Linked DNA regions of Caenorhabditis elegans. The protein of the gene in region 1 purifies or fractionates together with the protein of each later gene. This does not show direct contact. Each region holds a gene or a part of one and is shown in the gene's direction. Other genes may lie near its edges.

Region 1 (6,600 bases):
CAAAGGTTGGTAATAGTGGAAAACAAAATCAACAAAAATCTGGTCTCGCCACGACTTCCAATTTCTTTCAGAAAAAAGAAGAAGAACGACTTGCCGAGGAACTTGCCGAATCAGAAGCCGTCGTAATAGTTCTAGGAAAAGAAGACGGGCTCGCAGCTCCGTGGGCCAAGGTGATTCACGACAAGCTTTGTGATGAAATGGTCCGAAAACCGATGATTTGGTGGTCAGACTCTTTGGATGTGAAGGAGTTAATGGCCTTCAAGGGATTTTGTATTTTTATCTCTGAAACTACGGCTGGTGGTCAGCCGACACCCTCGACAGAATGGTTTTTGGAATGGCTTGAGGATCTCGCAGCGGACTCGAAGCTTAGAAAGAAGGCGAATTTCGAGAAAATCAGATTTTCAATTGTTGGCTTCGGAAGCAGTGATGATGGGCCAGCTGGGTTCAATAAAGTCGCCAGAACTTTGCTGAAACGAATGAAAATCTTGGGAGCTAGGCAAATTACTGAAGTCGAACTTTTCAATACAACTGACACTGGTATCATACCGTAATAATGATTATTGTTAAAATGTTGAGTTTCAGATAAGCAAACTATGGAGCGATTTGTGGAATTTTCGTTCGAACTCCTTTTGCAAATGGATAAGCATCTTCCTGGAATGAGTGGTGAAGACACCGAAGAATCGGAAGTTGGAGACGATAGATCTGAGAGCTCTTCGGATGATAATGAAGTCGAAGAGAAACATAAGAAGTCGAAATAAAATTTGAATATAAATATTTATATTTTAATAATTGTTTATATATCGAGCTTTAATTGAATTTTCCTGCATTTTAAAGATATTTTGTATATTTGTATTATTTTTTCAACATTTTTCATAAATAAATTCGCTTTTTTTAAAGAATATTGGTGACTGCCAAAATAATAAGAAAACATTAATTTTTGAGAAAGTAAATATTGATCCAAATTACCGTAGTGTAGTTTTAAAGGCGCATGTCATTTCCAGGACGGGTCTCGGCACGGGCTCTAAAGTTTAGCTGTTTCCGTTGCTTCTTGTAAATAATTGGAGTTTTTTTTTGCATATTTCGAAGCATTAAAAAATTAGAATGAGTTTGATCAGTGCTGAAAACTAGAAATCTACGAAAACCTTTTTGTAAAAGAACTCAAAAAAAAGTTTAGAAGCAAAATACCGTAACGAGTTGTTAAAGGCACATACCACTTCCACTTTGGGTCTCATCACGAATATCAATTGTGTCTTTTTCGTTTATCTTTTGTTAATTTTTAGCGAAGTTTTGTGGTTTTTCAGGTGTTTTCTTCATTTAAAACATTAAAATCCTCAATTTTCGATAACTTAAATTGAAAACTATTTAAAAATTATATGAAAAATTGCCTTCGAATCTTTTTTTCATGGAAAATTCGCGTAACTTCCCAAATTTTTTTCCGCCGATTTTTCCGCCATTTCTTCGAACACGTCTTGGAGCTTTACATCGGGAAACACAAAAAATCTGTTTTAACTTGAAAGCTCGTTGAAAATACTCAACAAATTTTTCAGAAACTCATATTTTAAACAAGGAAGTCATAATTTCACTACATTGGATCCAATTCATGCAGGAGTACTTTGACCTCTTCTGAGTCTCCGGTCAGCAAATGCGCTTCCCCGCACCAACACACATTCCAGCAGCACGAGTCGCCCTCTTGTCTCATAAGCTTTCTTGAGAAAACGGAGAAAACTTTGCGCTTTTGGTTTGTATGTGTGAGCAAAAGCTTTTTAATCAATATCCGCTTTATTCTCTCACAGTTCCGATTTTATTTGATTTTTTTCTGGAATTTCTTATATTCTCGGTTGAAAAAAATTTTAAAAACTAAAATTCAGCTTTAACAAAATGGAGGAAGATGACGTGGAATCGGCAACACCGGCGGAATCGCAAAAACTTTTGCAAAAAAGCGTTCGAAATTCGTTTGACGAGGTAATCTATTTCACGTGATCTATTCTATGAAAAAAGAAAAAAAACACAGTTTTTAGTTTTAATTTATTACATTTCAGAGAGATATGGTGATGGTGTTGGACAATGATGAATTAATTATGGAAAATCGGAATAGCAGTAATCTACAAAGCCCATTGCGGAGTGTTACTGTACGTTTTTTGTTGGGTTGAAAGAGATTAGCATATGATTATTGATTTTTGTTGTCGGTGAGTGGTGGCTGGAGCTAGAAGTTTTAAGAAATTCTCACTGTTTGGAGATGTTTTTTTGAAGAAAAAGTGTTTTCAAAGAAATGGTAATTTTCCACTATTTCAGATCTTCTATTTTCAAAAAAAAATTGAAATTTTTTCTCGGTATTTAAAGCTGTAGCTGTATAAAAATTTTAAAGTTTCTGAAGTTTAGGTTTTTTCAGATATACAAAAAAAAATTAACGGCATTATTTTTGAATTTCCTGCAAACCAATAAAAACAAATAGTGAGAATTTTTCTGAAACCTTTTCCTATTTTTTTAGTGGTCAGTTACCGCTAATTCTTATTTAATATTAAAAAAGCTAGAATATCATTCTTCAAGCTCCAGCCAGCCACTTCGTGTTTTCATATTTATCACTGCTTGCCCTCATATGACAAATGTTATTTTTACGGTGATCAGAAATCAAATTTTGAAAAATTGAAAAGTGCATTGCAGGATGTGCTCCGAGAGGCAGAAAATATTATCACTGACGGACCGCTGCAGTTGGCTGATACACAAGAGAATCAGAATGTGATTGTTGATCAAGTCGATGTTCAATTGTAAATAATCATCAGATTTTTTTTTCTTCCAAAAAAACATTGTTTCAGTCCGAATAGTCAGCCATCAGATGGTCAACGATTTGAGATTATTGTTCGTCATAGTAAGGTTGTTGAACAGCCTGCAAGTCAGCAAAGAGACGAATCAATGTATGTGACAAGGCAGAATAGGCTTCCAACTTTGCTTGAAGGTAAGGTTATTGAAAAAAATGATTTTTTTTTAAAGTGCGAAAAATACTTTAATATTTCGCATAACATGCTTTTTGTATTTGAACCGATTTTTGATATTCATTTCATAGTTCATTCCCACAAATTCTTCTTGAGAAGTATTAAAATTCGTCCATAAAAATGGAATTTTTGAAGAAATGTTTCTAATTAAAAAATTCACACATTTACATTATTTATGATGTTCCAAATAAAAATCTAAACCAATTTTTTCAAAAATTATCGATTTATCCAATTTAATTCCCATAAAGGTTAGAGTTCAAGAAAAAAAGGCTTTTAAATGTAAAAAAATCGATTTTTAAAAATGTTCAATAAAAACAAAACAAAATATTTCTTTTGAGCTTTTGATATTAAAGCAAAACCAAACAAAAAATAAGAGTTTTGCGCAATTTATGAGAACATTTTCAAAAAAAAATTTTTTTTTACTATTTGTTTACAGTGTAACGAAATAAACCAAAAATCGCATCATTTACACCGATCTCTCGTTTAATAAATTAGTGAATTAAAAGTTAAATTTCCAACCAAAAAAAAACTTGTTGACCGTCACCTCAAATTAATTTTAGGTGACAGGAAGTGTTCTCATTCGTTTTTTTCAAAAATACTTCCCTCCTTTCACTAAACTACACTATTACTAAATGATTTCTATAGGAATCGAAATTGACAATGGAGATGTCCCATCAACGTCTAAAGCAGCCGCATTACCATTCAAAAAAGGACATCGTCGAGCATGGAGTATGCCGAATGCAAAAGGAGAAAAGATGACAGTTGCAGTTATTCATGATAATCATGAAGAAGGTGGAAATCAGCATCGTCGACGAATTGTCAAATACAAATTACATCCACAACGTCGGGGACACGAAGATGGAAAACATTTGAGATTTGTTACTGCTGGACATGATGCGGAGATTCATTTGGATCATAGTGATGATGATGATGAGCTTGAAGTTGAGATTAATGAAGAAGAAGTTATTATTCCTAGCGAAACTGGAGAAGGACCAAGAGCTGTTATCAAGAGGGTGAGGGAAAACTCCAGTGAGATAATTGCAAAATTGCAACAAAAAAAAGCAAAAAATGCAGCGATAAATGTTAATTGGCGGCAATTTTGCTTTAAACAAATTATGTAGAGAAAAACATTTCTAATAAGTTTTGAAAATTCACGAATCTCCGAAAATGTTTGATTTGGTTTTTCTTTCTATTAAAAGTTTTCTGATTACATTCAAAATTTTCTTTGTACTAGGAGCCAAAAAATTTTGCACACATGTGAGCTATTGATAAGAAAATTTTCAAAAATATACATTTTTGATAAGTTTCTACATATTTTTTGCAAGACAATTACTTGAAATTATGAGAAATCTTAAAGAATAATTTTTTGGTTAAAAAAAACGATTAAAGTTAAAAAAAAAATATTACAAAATTATTTTCAGTTCTGGGAAGCCCGCTGGAAGGCAACAAATTTCGAAACTCTACCCGAATGGCTTCAAGATAACGAATACCTCCGTACAGGACATCGTCCTCCACTTCCATCGTTCAGTAGCTGCTTCAAGAGTATTTTTGCATTGCACACTGAAACAGGAAACATTTGGACTCATATGTATGGATGTGTTGCGTTCTTCGGTATCGGAATATGGTTTCTGACTCGTCCCCATGATCAAATGCAATGGGTGGAGAAATTGATCTACTCGGCGTTTTTCCTCGGTGCAGTGATATGTCTTGGAATGTCATTCCTTTTTCATACGGTTGCATGCCATTCTATTGAAATGGCTAAACTGTTCAGTAAACTCGATTACACTGGGATTTCCTTACTCATCGTTGGATCATTTGTTCCGTGGATCTATTTTGCATTCTACTGTAGACCTCAACCAATGATAATATACAACGGAATGATTATTATACTTGGAATCGCTGCAATGGTCGTCTCGCTTTGGGATAAATTCGCGGAGCCCAAATTCCGGCCTGTACGAGCAGCAGTTTTCATAGCAATGGGCCTATCGGCTGTGGTCCCAGCATTTCATTTACTTGTAGTTGACGGTGTTCATTATATGGTTGAGGAGTCACAAGTTCATTTGATGATTATGATGGGAGCCATGTATATTGGTGGTGCAACACTCTATGCGACACGTGTACCTGAGAGATGTTTCCCTGGAAAGTGCGATATTTGGGTATGTGGTTTCAAAAAAACTAGCAATTGGAGAAAAATATAAAAATATATATTTTCAATTCTCGGTTTTCCGGAAAACCAGACAACATAACTTTAAAGATTTTAAACCACATTTTGCAAAAGAAAATTTACGAAAATACGAAAAAGACTCAAAAAATAAAAGCTAAACAATCTTTTTTACTCAAAAAAAAACTAATAACGTTTATTTTTTCAGTTCCAATCGCATCAACTCTTTCACACATTTGTCGTGCTCGCCGCTTTTGTTCATTATCACGCGATCTCCCAAATGGGAATGCATAAGCTCATGAAAGGATCCTGCCCGGATCAACTGAAAACTCGTTACGGTAACGAGTTGAATCCTTCCTTCGTTGGCACTTTGCTTGGGCTCGACGAGCCACTCAATGTCAGAGACTGGACACCGGCGGATGTTGGTTTATGAGGTAGATTTGTTTCCAATTTTTTATTTTTAAAAAATTTATAATTTTCAGAAACCTCTGCACAATATGTATAGTTGCGTATATATGCTCTTCTTGAAGCTGCTACAACCCTCTTCATACTATCCTTTTTCTGCTCATTTTCACCATTTTTTTTTCCATTTTCTTTCAAATTACCTGGTTCCCCTTCCCCACGCTCCTCAACTATCTGTCGAAACATTCTCAGCTAAAATTCCAATGTGATAAATTCTATACACTCCTTTTTTCATTTTATTCCCCCTTTTCGTTCCGTTTTCTTCCATTGAAATTAGTTTTCTTATTATTCTTTTCTTGTTTTCGCGTTCTCCTTCATTTTCTCGGAACCAGATTTGGTTTTTTTAAACTTTAACATTGAACTTTTCGAGCTTTGTTTTTTTTTTCTTTTTCGTATTTTATGAATTTCATTTTACTGTGTAGCCCATTATTCTATTTTCGTGTGAGTGTAGTCGTCTAGGCGATTTAAAATAAAATTTTCGATTTTTTTTTGTGATTTTTCGAACAATTCATGAAGTCGGCATAATTACCAAGCGCTAGTGTCTGTAAAATAGCGGAAATTTAAGAGTTTTAGCGAAACATTCACGAAATCACATATCTTGCAATTTCTCATCAGTTTTCTACAGAAAAAACTCGTAGTTCCACACCATGCAGGTGAAAATCTAGCAAAATCACCCTTTTTCTTCATTTTACTTGAAATTTGATCAGATTTTTGGTTTTTCAATGTTCTCAGGCGATCAGGAAGTGCTGAAATCTGAAATTGGTTTGAAGTCGATAATTTAAGGAATTTTATTAAACAATCTCGAGTACAGTAACTTGAAAGGCGCATCTACGAAAATAGGGATTAAATATTGTATCTCTGCGAGACCCACGCATACTATAGTAGAATGTCCCTTTAAATGGAGTACGGTACCAAAAGTAGACAAATTTTCAGATTTGTTTGTTTATTTTAGAATTTTTTGTTTTCAGCCCCAAAAAATTATTCCAG
Region 2 (3,211 bases), 5.6 Mb from region 1:
ATGTCAATCTATTTTTTGGTATGCCAATCTATTTTTTGGTATGCCAATCTATTTTTTGGTATGCCAATCTATTTTTTGGTATGTCAATCTATTTTTTGGTATGTCAATCTATTTTTTGGTATGTCAATCTATTTTTTGGTATGTCAATGTAAATGCTGTATTTTTCAAAAATTCAAAAGTACTATAAAATCATATGAAGCGCTTCTTTTTTATTTTATAAAACTGTTTAGCATTGCCAAATATACCAGAAAATACCAAAAAAAGTATACTAGCTTGTCCGCAAGTATTTTAAAAAATTGATAGAAATATATAAAAGCTGTATTTTTCAAAAATTCAAAAGTGCTGGAAAATCATATGGTTCTAAATTACCAGATTATCCCAAATTTCATAACAAGATTTTCAAGACAATGTTCAACTTTTATTCATAAATTAATTGCTTCAGTTTGAATTATCCAAACTTGGATGGTAGGTCGAATCCCATGATGATATGTCGGTCTGAGGCAGGTCGAATATGGTTAGCTCGAGGTTTTCCAACAACCGACAAGATGGAGAGTACAGCAAACACTAAAACGCAATAAATGTTCATTTGAAGAACCGAAGTGAGGAAAAGGTTTGTGATCGGAAGGCTTTTATTCCACCCACATCGATAAAGTTAGTTCCGGGAGCGGGAGCATCAAAGATGTATGCTTCGATGCTTAAAAACCTTGTGATCATTTGCACGGAAAATATAAGTTTGCAAATACACTCAAATCATACAACGCAAGTCGAATTGTTAATGTTAGGGGTTCCAAAACGCCTGCCTGCCTGACCTTAAGGCGGCCTCCGCCTGCCTCTCGTGAGGCCCTGAAACCGTGCCTGCCTACCTAGCCTCAACTACCTAACAGAAAACTGCTCAATATGTAGGAGCATTTTGGACTAGAAAAATAAATTTGAAATTTTTTAATTTTGTCTCGCACTTCTTTAGAGTCCCGTAGATTAACTCCAATTTGGGATTTTTTTTTTTCAAACTTTCTACTTCAAAGTCCCATTTTATTAGGTCATAGATTTTCCATCTAAGCCTAAGCCTAGGAATTAGCCTAGGCCTAAGCCTCAGTCTAAGCCTAAGCCTAAGCCCTAAAAACTGAAAGGCCTGCGGCGCGATTAACAAGATTATAAGCCCAAAAAACAGAGTTTGAATGTTCAATATTTATCAGTAATCAACAGAAACTGCACAAAAATTATTGTGGACGTGGTGCACCGATGATGACTCCGCTTCCGTATCCACTGCTTCCTCCGCACTTCTTTCCTCCTTGTGGCAAGAAGATTCCAGAAACTGAAGAAATAGCCAAGATGGCGAAGACGCAGACAGAGTAGACGTTCATGATGATGATGAAGAAGAAGAAGATGCTTCTGATGCTTGAATTCTGGAAGAAGTTGGCTTTTATAGTACCGTGTAGGGGGCGGGTGGGGGGTTCGGGGACATAAAATTGTTATATTTTAGTTGCGATTTTGATGATAACTCGTAAAAATTGAAGTTTGAGCGTTTCGGGGAAGCGGAGAGGCTGCAAAACTTGCAAAAATCGGAGTCAGGAACAGTTGAAAATTCAACAAAACGAATTTCCCTGAAAATCTCTAATTTGAATTCCCGCCAACGAATTGTCTGCGTCTCCACTCTCTGGGATGTGGGCGAACGCGCTCCACTGCACATTTCGATTCGATTTCTCTTTTTTCTCTTTTGACGCATTTTCACATAATTATTGTATTTTTCGAAGTTTTCTGCGGGTTTTCTCCGATTTTTTTCGATAAAATTAAATTTTAAAATTCGGAAATATAATATTTATCAATTTTAAGCCATGAAATATCGTAAAATTCCTATGTAATCACCCATAATAGGATTTTTATCGATTTTTTGTTGCAAAAATCCCATTTTCATTGTTTTTCTTTTCCTAAAGCTAATTGAACTTTGCGGCTAATTTACACGATTAACTTATGAATTTTCAGAATCAAAAAATGGGCAAGCGCAATCTGGACGAGACAATGAACGAGTCGACCGTATCAGAAGCCAATGGAGACGCCACCGCACCAACCACCGAGAAGGACGAGTACCAGGCACTTTGCGAGCTGGTAAATCATTAATTTCGCTGGTTTTTTAATGAAAAATGTCTTATTTTCAGGTAAACCCAATCGCTCAGCCACTAGCAAACCGCAAGTTGGCCAAGAAGGTGTACAAGCTCATCAAGAAGGCCTCCGCCGGCGATAAAACCCTCCGTGAGGGCATCAAGGACGTGCAGAAGGAGCTCCGCAGAAACGAGAAGGGAATCTGCATTCTTGCTGGTAGGATTTTAATCTATTTTTCCCTTAAAACGTTCAATTTTTCAGGAAACGTCTCTCCAATCGATGTGTACTCACATATTCCGGGAATCTGCGAGGAGAAGGAGATCCCATACGTCTACATTCCATCTCGTGAGCAGCTCGGACTCGCCGTCGGACATCGTCGCCCGTCGATTCTGATCTTCGTCAAGCCGAGTGGGGACTTCAAGGAGCTGTACGACGAGGTCGCCGAGGCTCTCCGTCATCTCACCGTCGAGGCCGCCTAAATTGTTTTTTCTCTGGTTTTCACTGTTTTTTTTTTGTTGTTGATTTTTTAAAATTTCTTGATCTGTATCACCATCTTTATCCACAATTGTTCACTCATTAAATTGTTGTTATCTACAGACTTTTTCTTTTTATTCTTTAATCCTTTCTCGGTAATTTCCAAAACTCAATTTTGTTACTCGAAATCAATCTAAATCACAGCAAATCCCGTTCTAAACCACTTTCAGCTCAGAAAATGCTCGCCGAAACGCTTGTGGCGCCCGGCGACAAGGTTCTCGACGCGATTGGTGAATATCGAATGGGGAAGGGATTATACGAGGCGAATCGAAGGATCTTCGCGTCGGTAGCCGGTTTTGTCAACGTTTATGGATTCAGAGATGTAATTTTCGCACAAATCGCAAGCGTGGAGCCCGAAAATTTCCGTTTTTTCTGCAGAAATCCGACAACCTGGTGCAAGTGATCGAAGTTCGCCGCAGCGAAGATCAGCTCGACAATGAGCTTCTCCCATTCCACGGAGCCATCGTCACCGCCAAAGTGATGGCTGTCGGATTACGGTAGAGCAGCTTTTCGTTGCTCTGAAAACCGACAGAAAATATTGCAGATTCGCCAAATGTGACATCATCAGTATCGGCGATAA
Region 3 (4,816 bases), on another chromosome or scaffold:
AATGAAAAATGGATGAGCTTATGTTTTTCAGAGGAATGGCTCCCGATCCAACTTCTTATGATCGAGTTTTCAAATTTCTTATTTTCGGAGGCAAATCGGTATTTTTTTAAATTAAAATCTTTAAAAATTTAAATTTAAATGTCTCTAGTTTTTAAATTTACTAAATTAGTTATGTACTCTCTATTAGAATTTTTCTGACAAAGGTTTCTAAAAAAATGTATCATATTTTGAGTAGTGGCAGTCAAAATATTTATTTTTATTCAAAAAGTATGAGTAGGGCTACTTAAAATTTCCCATTAAGCTCACAGAGTGGATAAAATTGAGTTTTGATGTTAAAAATTGTTCTTCAACGGCTGTAACTCTAAGAATCATTTAATGAAAAAAAAAATGTATTCAGGTTGGTAAAAAGACGTTGCTCCGATCATTTTGCACAGAAGGAGATAATGAAAGTATTTGGACTTCTCTTACTGTTGATGATGAGAAGGTTTTAATTGAAGCAACTGTTTCACAAAAATGGGAAGAAGGAATGTCAAAAGAGCACGATGCAATTGCTCTTGTTTTTTCTACAACTGATGTATATGTGAGTTATTTCGATTGAAGCTGGCAAATCAAATAAATAAATAATTTCAGAGTTTCGAATACACTTTAGAATTATACAATGAAATTCAAAAATCGACAGAGAGAATTCCCCTTGTGTTCATAGAAAATAAAATAGATATTGTGGAAGATAGTCAAATGGATAAAGGATTAGTTGAAGGAGAAATGAGGAAAAAACATAAGAGACTTTATAGGTTTGCAGATGATTTTTAATAAAAAAATTATAAAAAAATAATTTCAGAGTGTCAGCACTGAAAGAATTCAATGTTATGCATCCATTTGCCTACCTCATCGAGAAATTGACACGACAGAAGAAAGATTTAAACGCGAATGAGAGGTTTGACTCTATTACTTTTCAAATTATTTATTTAAACGTTCTTCTCTTAAATAGCTATATTTTCATTTGACAGTTTTCAGACCTTCTCCAATTATCCAATCTGTAATGAAAATTTCTAAAATTCTAAAATTCTGAATACTATATAAACTGAATAATTCCTTCAACATTTTTTCAGCGTTTCAGAAAACAGTCTTCGTCTGTAAATTCTACATCAACGTCACCACCATCTACTACAGTTGAAGCTTGGGTTGAACCGGTTCCCACGGCGACAACAACTTCGGCTCCCGCACTTAAAAAAGATAAATGCACACTGATGTAGTATTGTTTTTGAGTTTAGATATTTTGTTTTTTCTATTGAACTACGAAAAATCACAGTTTCTTGAGGTATTAATTTTTTGAAACAAATTGGGCGTTACGGTTTTGATCTCTTTTTATTTTCTCTTTTATGAAATCACGAAATAAACCTTTTGAATTTCTGAAAAAATATATATGCTTTTCCGAAATTCTGAATTAAATAAACAGTTTCATAAAATGCACCATGATGCACCATAACGTGATAGAGTGCGATTTCTTGGAATTCGAATTTGAAAAACCGCCAGTTTACACGAGAAATGCGCAAAGACACTTTGCGCCAGCATGCGTCCTTGACGCGTTGTTGTCATTTTATTCATTTTCTCACAGCTTCCACGGATTTTCCTTTTTTTTATTTTCCTTTTTATTTTCCTCAGTCATTTCTCATAAATTTTAATTTCGTAAACGCAAAAATTGTAGAAGAAGAAACTGGTAAGAATAACCGACGAAAATGATGGCCGCACGACTCCTGGGAACGTCGTCTAGAATTTTTAAATTAAATAAGCATCTTCACACATCTAAAGGTTGGTTTAAAAAATCTATTTTAATATAATATTTTCGAAGTTTCAGTCGCTTTTATGCCGGTTGTTCAATTCAAATTATCGGATATTGGAGAAGGAATTGCCGAAGTTCAGGTTAAGGAATGGTAAGTCATACTGTAGATGTAGTTTCGCATGAAAGCCAGTGAATTTTATAATTTTTCCACAAAACTGTTTTAAACTTCCAGGTACGTGAAAGAAGGAGATACGATTTCGCAGTTCGATAAAGTCTGTGAAGTGCAAAGTGATAAAGCAGCAGTAACCATCTCCTGTAGATACGACGGGATTGTCAAAAAATTGTAAGTTTCTTCCTAAATTCGAAAATTTCAGTTTCCCTGCTATCTGGTCGTTTCAATTCTTTTTAATATACATTGTAAAAAGTAACAAGGCACGTGGCGTCTCGGTTTGCACAGGTTACTCTGCGTCTCTTCTCTGTTCTTGATTGACAATCACAATATCACTGATCACCAGTGAAGCTGAGAGATAAAGCTTTTTGTGGAGATGACGGAGAAAATGCAATCAAAAAATCAAAAATTACTGAAAAGAAATTTTTTCCTGTTTTTCCTTGAAATGTCATTTTTATCTGAAAATGCAGAAAAGTTTACAGATATCATGAGGTTGATGGAATGGCTCGAGTTGGACAGGCTCTCATTGATGTTGAGATAGAGGGAAACGTGGAAGAACCCGAACGTATGTTTTTTATGCGTTCTAATGTTCTTATCGAAATTCCCTATCAGTTATAATCTCGCAATAGTTTTTCTTTGAAAATGCTATCAGCTATAATTGCCAATTTTATCTGTGATTCGAAATTTAATCTACTTCAAGAACTGAACAAAATGCATTTTACTTGATTTCCCAAGGGGAAGTCTGACTTCTCTGTTTCTAATTAAAATTGTGTTTTGTTTTCTACTAGTGTTTTTTTTTCAGAACCGAAGAAGGAAGCTGCTTCATCATCGCCAGAAGCTCCGAAGTCGTCAGCGCCAAAAGCTCCAGAATCTGCTCATTCAGAAGGAAAAGTTCTTGCCACACCAGCAGTTCGTAGAATTGCCATTGAAAACAAGATCAAGCTAGCTGAAGTTCGCGGAACTGGAAAAGACGGAAGAGTTCTCAAAGAAGACGTTCTCAAGTTCCTGGGACAAGTGCCGGCTGGTAATTTTTACGAAGAACTTTTTGAAACTTTTAATGTTATTTATTTATAGACCATACCTCTGGATCTACAAATATTCGTACTACCCATCAAGCTCCACAACCATCTTCGAAATCGGTAAATTTTTTTAAAGTGGTTTCAATTACAAATCAACTATTTTAGTATGAACCTCTCAAAGAAGATGTTGCTGTTCCGATTCGTGGATACACTCGAGCGATGGTCAAAACGATGACTGAAGCTCTCAAAATTCCACACTTTGGGTACAACGATGAGATTAATGTAGATTCTCTGGTCAAATATCGTGCTGAACTGAAAGAATTCGCGAAAGAGCGTCATATCAAATTGAGCTACATGCCATTCTTCATCAAAGCTGCTTCTTTAGCTCTTCTCGAATACCCATCTTTGAATTCTACAACTGATGAGAAAATGGAAAATGTTATACATAAGGTATACTGATGAAATTCACACGTTTACTTTTAAAAAATAATTAATCTTCGAATTTGTCTATTTTGAAAAATAATTTCAGGCTTCTCACAATATTTGTCTCGCCATGGACACACCAGGAGGGCTTGTTGTACCGAATATCAAAAACTGTGAGCAAAGAAGTATCTTTGAAATTGCTCAAGAGCTCAATCGTCTTCTGGAGGCTGGAAAGAAACAGCAAATTAAGAGAGAAGATTTGATTGATGGAACTTTCTCATTGAGCAATATTGGAAATGTAAGTTTTCTTTTTTCAATTACTTAATATTAGTAAAAAAAAATTAAAGATCGGTGGAACCTACGCCTCTCCAGTTGTCTTCCCACCACAAGTGGCTATTGGAGCAATTGGAAAAATCGAAAAACTCCCACGATTCGATAAACATGACAATGTAAGAAAATATTTTTCAAAATTTGTGAGACGTGTTGATAACAAATATTTATTTAGGTCATCCCTGTGAACATCATGAAAGTTTCGTGGTGCGCAGATCACCGAGTTGTGGACGGAGCTACAATGGCTCGCTTCAGCAATCGCTGGAAGTTCTACCTCGAACACCCATCTGCAATGCTCGCCCAACTTAAGTAAAGTATCATGTTTCATCTGGTTAATTTTATTAGGTGCCCAATTATCCCTTGATGTAGACATTCCCCCGTTTTCAACACTCTAAACCTGTTTTTTTTCTTGAAGGTGCCTCCTGTTTTTAGAGCATATTTTAGATAACGATTGCATTTTTCAATCCATTTCTTACTCGATTATTAGCCTGCTTTTTTTTTCTTTTTTCTTGTGCCATTTACTTGTTTGATGTAGGATGCAGATATCAAATAATCATGTTCGTGTAGAATGAAAAGATTCCCGTGATAATTGGAAAACATCTTTATTTACAAGCACTTTCAATGTCTAGTATACGATTTTCTTTGGACAATGAATTGGTCGAGGATCGATGAATCGATCACAAAGGAATTGCCACAAATCTTCCTCGGCTTCTTTGTATCGAGTTCCATTGATTAAAATCCATGGAGCCTGAATTTCAATTATTACAAATTACAATACATTTTAAAGATACCCAATCCATCTCTGGTGCCATTTGAGCAACAATATTTTCTTGATCGCTGAATAGTTTTCGGCCATGACGACTTTCGGCACATTCCATCATTCTGAAAAAATCAAATGAACTTAATAGAGGAAACATATTACGAGAAAACTGAATTCTGAGAACGCGTATTGTGCAACATATTTGACGCGCAAAATATCTCGTAGCGAAAACCACAGTAACTACAGTAATTCTTTAAATGGCTACTGTAGCGCTTGTGCCGATTTACGGGCTCGATTTTCGGAATGAATTAAGGTCAATTATTTATTTATTGATA
Region 4 (4,041 bases), 8.2 Mb from region 1:
TATTTCTTCATTTTTATTTTACTCTAAACTCAAAAATATTGGCCACATTCATTTAGACAAAGAACAACTGTCAACTATGGGTCAACATTTGACAGACATGAGCATTTCACGTGGGAAATGGCCAGATAGAGCATTACCTAGAGAAAATACTTTTTTCTATGTTCGTCTTACACTTCTCATCTATCTATATACAGGAAGAGCTTTTCGATAATCGAGTTTTTCAAAACAGTTTGTTGCTTTTTTTTTGGAATTGCTTAAATTTTCAGCTAATTGAGAATACGCTTGGTTAAAATTTTAAAACTTTTTACATTCCAAAAGCTTCTAAAACTTGCCAGTAACAACTTTTTCTCAATTCCGAGCTACGGTTTTCCCGCATTTTTCAAACATCTTTTTTTTTTAAGTTCCCAATATTTTTTTTTCAAAGATTTTGACAAAAACCATTTTTTCCGGCAAATTGCCGAAATTGAAATTTCCGGATCCCCTCTGATTCAAACTCTGAAAATTAGAAGAATATATATGTTAGTCGTGATAAGATGTTGCTTTTATAGATTTTGCAAGGCATTCTACCTAAATTTCCAATGGTTAAGTTTTCTTTGTGCACATTCAAATTCTGGGTCCATGAAGAAAAAAAAACAATTTCATAACCCTTCTACGTTTTCTCTAAACTCTCACTATTCGCACAATTGCATCATGCCTCCTCCATATTGCCATCTCACGCAAAAAAGCACATAGCCATTCTCAAAATATCTTTTTCACATCACGTCGTTTTCTATTCGCTGTCTTTTTTGTTGTACCCATGTTATAGTTTTGACATAGAAGCTCATTTTATTTACAAAAATGAATACATAGATGTATTGCTTGTTTTACATAAGATCCTCTTCTTGTTTTTTTTTGTCATGATTTGTCGTAGATTTTGAATTGTTTTATTAGTACGTGCCTCGCATGTTCTCGTACTTATAGTAGCCTTATAGGTCTTACGAGAATGCCCAGGGAATAAACAGAGCAGGGGTATACGGCAAATTTGCCAAATTTGCCGTTTGCTGAGCTCGGTAACTTTGCTGAATTTGCCGAGCAAGACAAATTTCAAAAAAGTAGATTTGTTAAATTTTCCGAGCTCTGCAAATTTCGATATTTGCCGCACATGCCAAAGTTTTGACATTACAACTTTGACCAAAACCATTGGTTTTGTCCCCAAAAATTGAGTAAAATGACACAAAATTGAGTTATTTTGATAATTAATACAGAGCGAGTTACGGAATATGGCAAACGAAAATGCAGTTTACTCTAGTTTTTTTTTAAATATAACTATGTGGTCTAAACCCTATAATATTGGAAAACTAGGTAAATTGTGTTTTTATCGTAGGGGCAAGTTGGCTCATTTTCGAATTAAAAAAAAAAAACAAAATGTGCCAAGTAGGGTCGATTCCTCTGAAAAACGATTGCATCATTCCAAATTTCGTAATCTCTTTTACATTATTTCAATTTCAGACTACTCCAATGAGTCCTAAACTAGGCTCGAGCTCATAGCCCGGCTGCTCTAAGTACGCCAGAGGCATATGTCTGAAAAGCAATTTCAACTTTCATATCTTCATATCTCCGCACGCTTCCGTGAACCAAATCAAATCAAATCCTCCAACGTTGAAAAGTTCAAGACTTTGGCAATTCCTGCTCCTCTCGCTTCTTCAAACTATTTCTCACGTTCTGCTCCAACAGCAGTTCTTCTTCTTTTACTTCTCACAAAATTTCGTGCAAATCACGTAGGGCCCCTCAATTCCCTCTCGCCACTCTGCACGGCTTCTCACACACTCTTGCTCTCTCGCCAGGGGCTCTCCGTCTCCCTTCTCGGCGGTGCCATCGATTCGTTTGGCGCGAGAGAGAAAGCTCCGGCTCTTTTCACTTTTATCAGCGGCCCTTGTTTTTCACCGACTTCACTCTTGCACATTTTCAGGCAACTTCATTTTCTAAAATGGCTTCTTACTCGCAATTCTTGACCAAGGCCCAGGAGGACGAACTCCGCTCCATCGCCAACGCCATCGTCACCCCAGGAAAGGGAATTCTCGGTAAGTAACGATATTAAATTTGGGAAACAAAATTTGGCATTTTGTGTGTTACAAATCTAATCTCTAATCTCTCCAATCTCCCTGAAATTCGAATTTGCAGCCGCCGATGAGTCCACCGGATCCATGGACAAGCGTCTTAACAGCATCGGACTCGAGAACACCGAGGAGAACCGCCGCAAGTATCGTCAACTTCTGTTTACCGCCGGAGCCGACCTCAACAAGTACATCTCGGGAGTCATCATGTTCCACGAGACATTCTACCAAAAGACCGACGACGGAAAGCCATTCACTGCTCTTCTCCAGGAGCAAGGAATCATTCCAGGAATCAAGGTTGACAAGGGTGTCGTCCCAATGGCCGGAACCATCGGAGAGGGAACCACTCAGGGATTGGATGACTTGAATGCTCGTTGCGCTCAATACAAGAAAGACGGAGCACAGTTCGCCAAGTGGAGATGCGTGCACAAGATCTCATCTACGACTCCATCAGTGACTGCTCTTAAGGAAATTGCCTCCAACTTGGCTCGCTATGCTTCAATTTGCCAACAAAATGGACTTGTACCAATTGTTGAGCCAGAGGTAATTACCGAGAGTCGAGAGCCGAGAGTCGCACAGCACTGGTACCTACCCACCTAAGTTCCTTTTGGGGGGATGTAGTCGTAGATCGGCTTGAATGTAATACTTAGAACGGTTTTCACAGAAAATTTTAATATTCGATGCAAAACCCAAGTTAATGCCACGTCCGTTACTTGGGTCTCGCAGCAGTTTTTTTTTTGTAAAAAAAATATAATTGGCACTCTAATTAGTTATCATTTCAGATCCTCCCAGACGGTGAACACTGCTTGGCTCGCGGACAGAAGATCACCGAGACCGTGCTCTCATATGTGTACCACGCTCTCAACGAGCATCACGTCTTCCTCGAGGGAACCCTCCTCAAGCCAAACATGGTCACCTCCGGACAATCATTCACCGGCGAGAAGCCATCGAATGCCGATATCGGACTCGCCACCGTCACCGCCCTCCAACGCGGAGTCCCATCCGCCGTTCCAGGAGTCGTCTTCCTCTCCGGTGGACAATCCGAAGAGGATGCCACATTGAACTTGAACGCCATCAATCAAGTGAGCGGAAAGAAGCCATGGGCCCTCACATTCTCCTATGGACGTGCTCTTCAAGCCTCCTGTCTCGCCAAGTGGGCCGGAAAGGACGAGAACATCGCAGCCGCCCAAGAAGTCCTGCTCCATCGTGCTCAGGTCAACTCCCTTGCCTCTGTCGGAAAATACACCGGGGATGCTTCAGCTGACGCAGCCGCTTCCCAATCCCTCTTCGTCGCCAATCATTCTTATTAAATGGCCACGCTCAGGATCTCTTTTTTCTCATTTTTTAAAACTATTCAACGCACGTAGAATTATGTGTCTGTATACCCCTTTAATTGTCATTATTTGCTTCTCTAAGTCTCTTCGGATTTAATAAATCTTTGGTAGATACGAATGCACAATTAAAGAGAGATGTATCTTTGGAACATTTGATTCAAGCAGACAGACAATTGAGCGATGGCTCGTCGCGATGCATTCATAGTGATGACGTCAAGATGTCTTCTACTACTCACTATTCCTTGTAGGTTTATGTGTCTGCTCAATTGTTGAGAACAGAAGGTGCCTAGTGTAAGTGCGAGAGAACAATTTCCCAGTGGAGCCGTTTAACCTTGGGCAGGTGCGATGCACATTTTCAGATCGATATCTAACCAGTTGCACACTATTCGCAACGCATTACAGCCATTCATTTGTCCATTGCAATGTACTACCGCGAAGTGAGAGGATCTGAGATCTTCTATACCAAGTACTATGGTCCGCCAACTGAAAAGGATACCTTGGCTGCCAAGAACCCTTTTGAAATGTAAGTGTTTTTAAAACTAAATTTTCTAAATTTCCAATAGTAAATGTGTTACACCCTGTCGTTGGATTGTTTTTGTTTTCCAAGTTGTTTG

The links.
Region 2: the proteins of paqr-2 (region 1) and Y48A6B.3 purify together in Caenorhabditis elegans (affinity purification with mass spectrometry, with the first as the bait; one large-scale study listed by BioGRID). This does not show direct contact.
Region 3: the proteins of paqr-2 (region 1) and dbt-1 purify together in Caenorhabditis elegans (affinity purification with mass spectrometry, with the first as the bait; one large-scale study listed by BioGRID). This does not show direct contact.
Region 4: the proteins of paqr-2 (region 1) and aldo-1 purify together in Caenorhabditis elegans (affinity purification with mass spectrometry, with the first as the bait; one large-scale study listed by BioGRID). This does not show direct contact.

Annotation. Positions count from the first base shown.
Region 1 is NC_003281.10:5,375,198-5,381,797, reverse strand, and holds paqr-2 (Adiponectin receptor protein), read left to right. Parts: upstream 1-1,868; 5' UTR 1,869-1,878; coding exon 1,879-1,962; intron 1,963-2,039; coding exon 2,040-2,129; intron 2,130-2,661; coding exon 2,662-2,765; intron 2,766-2,813; coding exon 2,814-2,953; intron 2,954-3,635; coding exon 3,636-4,003; intron 4,004-4,411; coding exon 4,412-5,146; intron 5,147-5,359; coding exon 5,360-5,584; 3' UTR 5,585-5,585; intron 5,586-5,633; 3' UTR 5,634-6,099; downstream 6,100-6,600. Other genes in the region: Y32H12A.6 (Flavodoxin-like domain-containing protein), read left to right, coding at 1-5, 72-537, 583-758.
Region 2 is NC_003281.10:11,006,242-11,009,452, forward strand, and holds Y48A6B.3 (Putative H/ACA ribonucleoprotein complex subunit 2-like protein), read left to right. Parts: upstream 1-1,980; 5' UTR 1,981-1,989; coding exon 1,990-2,103; intron 2,104-2,153; coding exon 2,154-2,313; intron 2,314-2,358; coding exon 2,359-2,576; 3' UTR 2,577-2,688; downstream 2,689-3,211. Other genes in the region: fipr-17 (FIP (Fungus-Induced Protein) Related), read right to left, coding at 1,218-1,361; exos-1 (Exosome complex component CSL4 homolog), read left to right, coding at 2,810-2,953, 3,010-3,128, 3,176-3,211. UniProt on the Caenorhabditis elegans protein: Required for ribosome biogenesis. Part of a complex which catalyzes pseudouridylation of rRNA. This involves the isomerization of uridine such that the ribose is subsequently attached to C5, instead of the normal N1.
Region 3 is NC_003280.10:7,942,096-7,946,911, reverse strand, and holds dbt-1 (Lipoamide acyltransferase component of branched-chain alpha-keto acid dehydrogenase complex, mitochondrial), read left to right. Parts: upstream 1-1,705; 5' UTR 1,706-1,736; coding exon 1,737-1,809; intron 1,810-1,855; coding exon 1,856-1,931; intron 1,932-2,012; coding exon 2,013-2,123; intron 2,124-2,431; coding exon 2,432-2,514; intron 2,515-2,751; coding exon 2,752-2,973; intron 2,974-3,023; coding exon 3,024-3,088; intron 3,089-3,133; coding exon 3,134-3,418; intron 3,419-3,497; coding exon 3,498-3,689; intron 3,690-3,738; coding exon 3,739-3,840; intron 3,841-3,896; coding exon 3,897-4,034; 3' UTR 4,035-4,310; downstream 4,311-4,816. Other genes in the region: ZK669.5 (GTP-binding protein Rhes), read left to right, coding at 36-98, 398-580, 631-791, 839-934, 1,118-1,253; GILT-like protein ZK669.3, read right to left, coding at 4,347-4,469, 4,513-4,603. UniProt on the Caenorhabditis elegans protein: The branched-chain alpha-keto dehydrogenase complex catalyzes the overall conversion of alpha-keto acids to acyl-CoA and CO(2).
Region 4 is NC_003281.10:13,562,845-13,566,885, reverse strand, and holds aldo-1 (Fructose-bisphosphate aldolase 1), read left to right. Parts: upstream 1-1,948; 5' UTR 1,949-1,966; coding exon 1,967-2,060; intron 2,061-2,160; coding exon 2,161-2,636; intron 2,637-2,875; coding exon 2,876-3,403; 3' UTR 3,404-3,540; downstream 3,541-4,041. Other genes in the region: T05D4.2 (F-box associated domain-containing protein), read left to right, coding at 3,850-3,950. UniProt on the Caenorhabditis elegans protein: May be involved in the metabolism of fructose-bisphosphate (beta-D-fructose 1,6-bisphosphate) and of fructose 1-phosphate.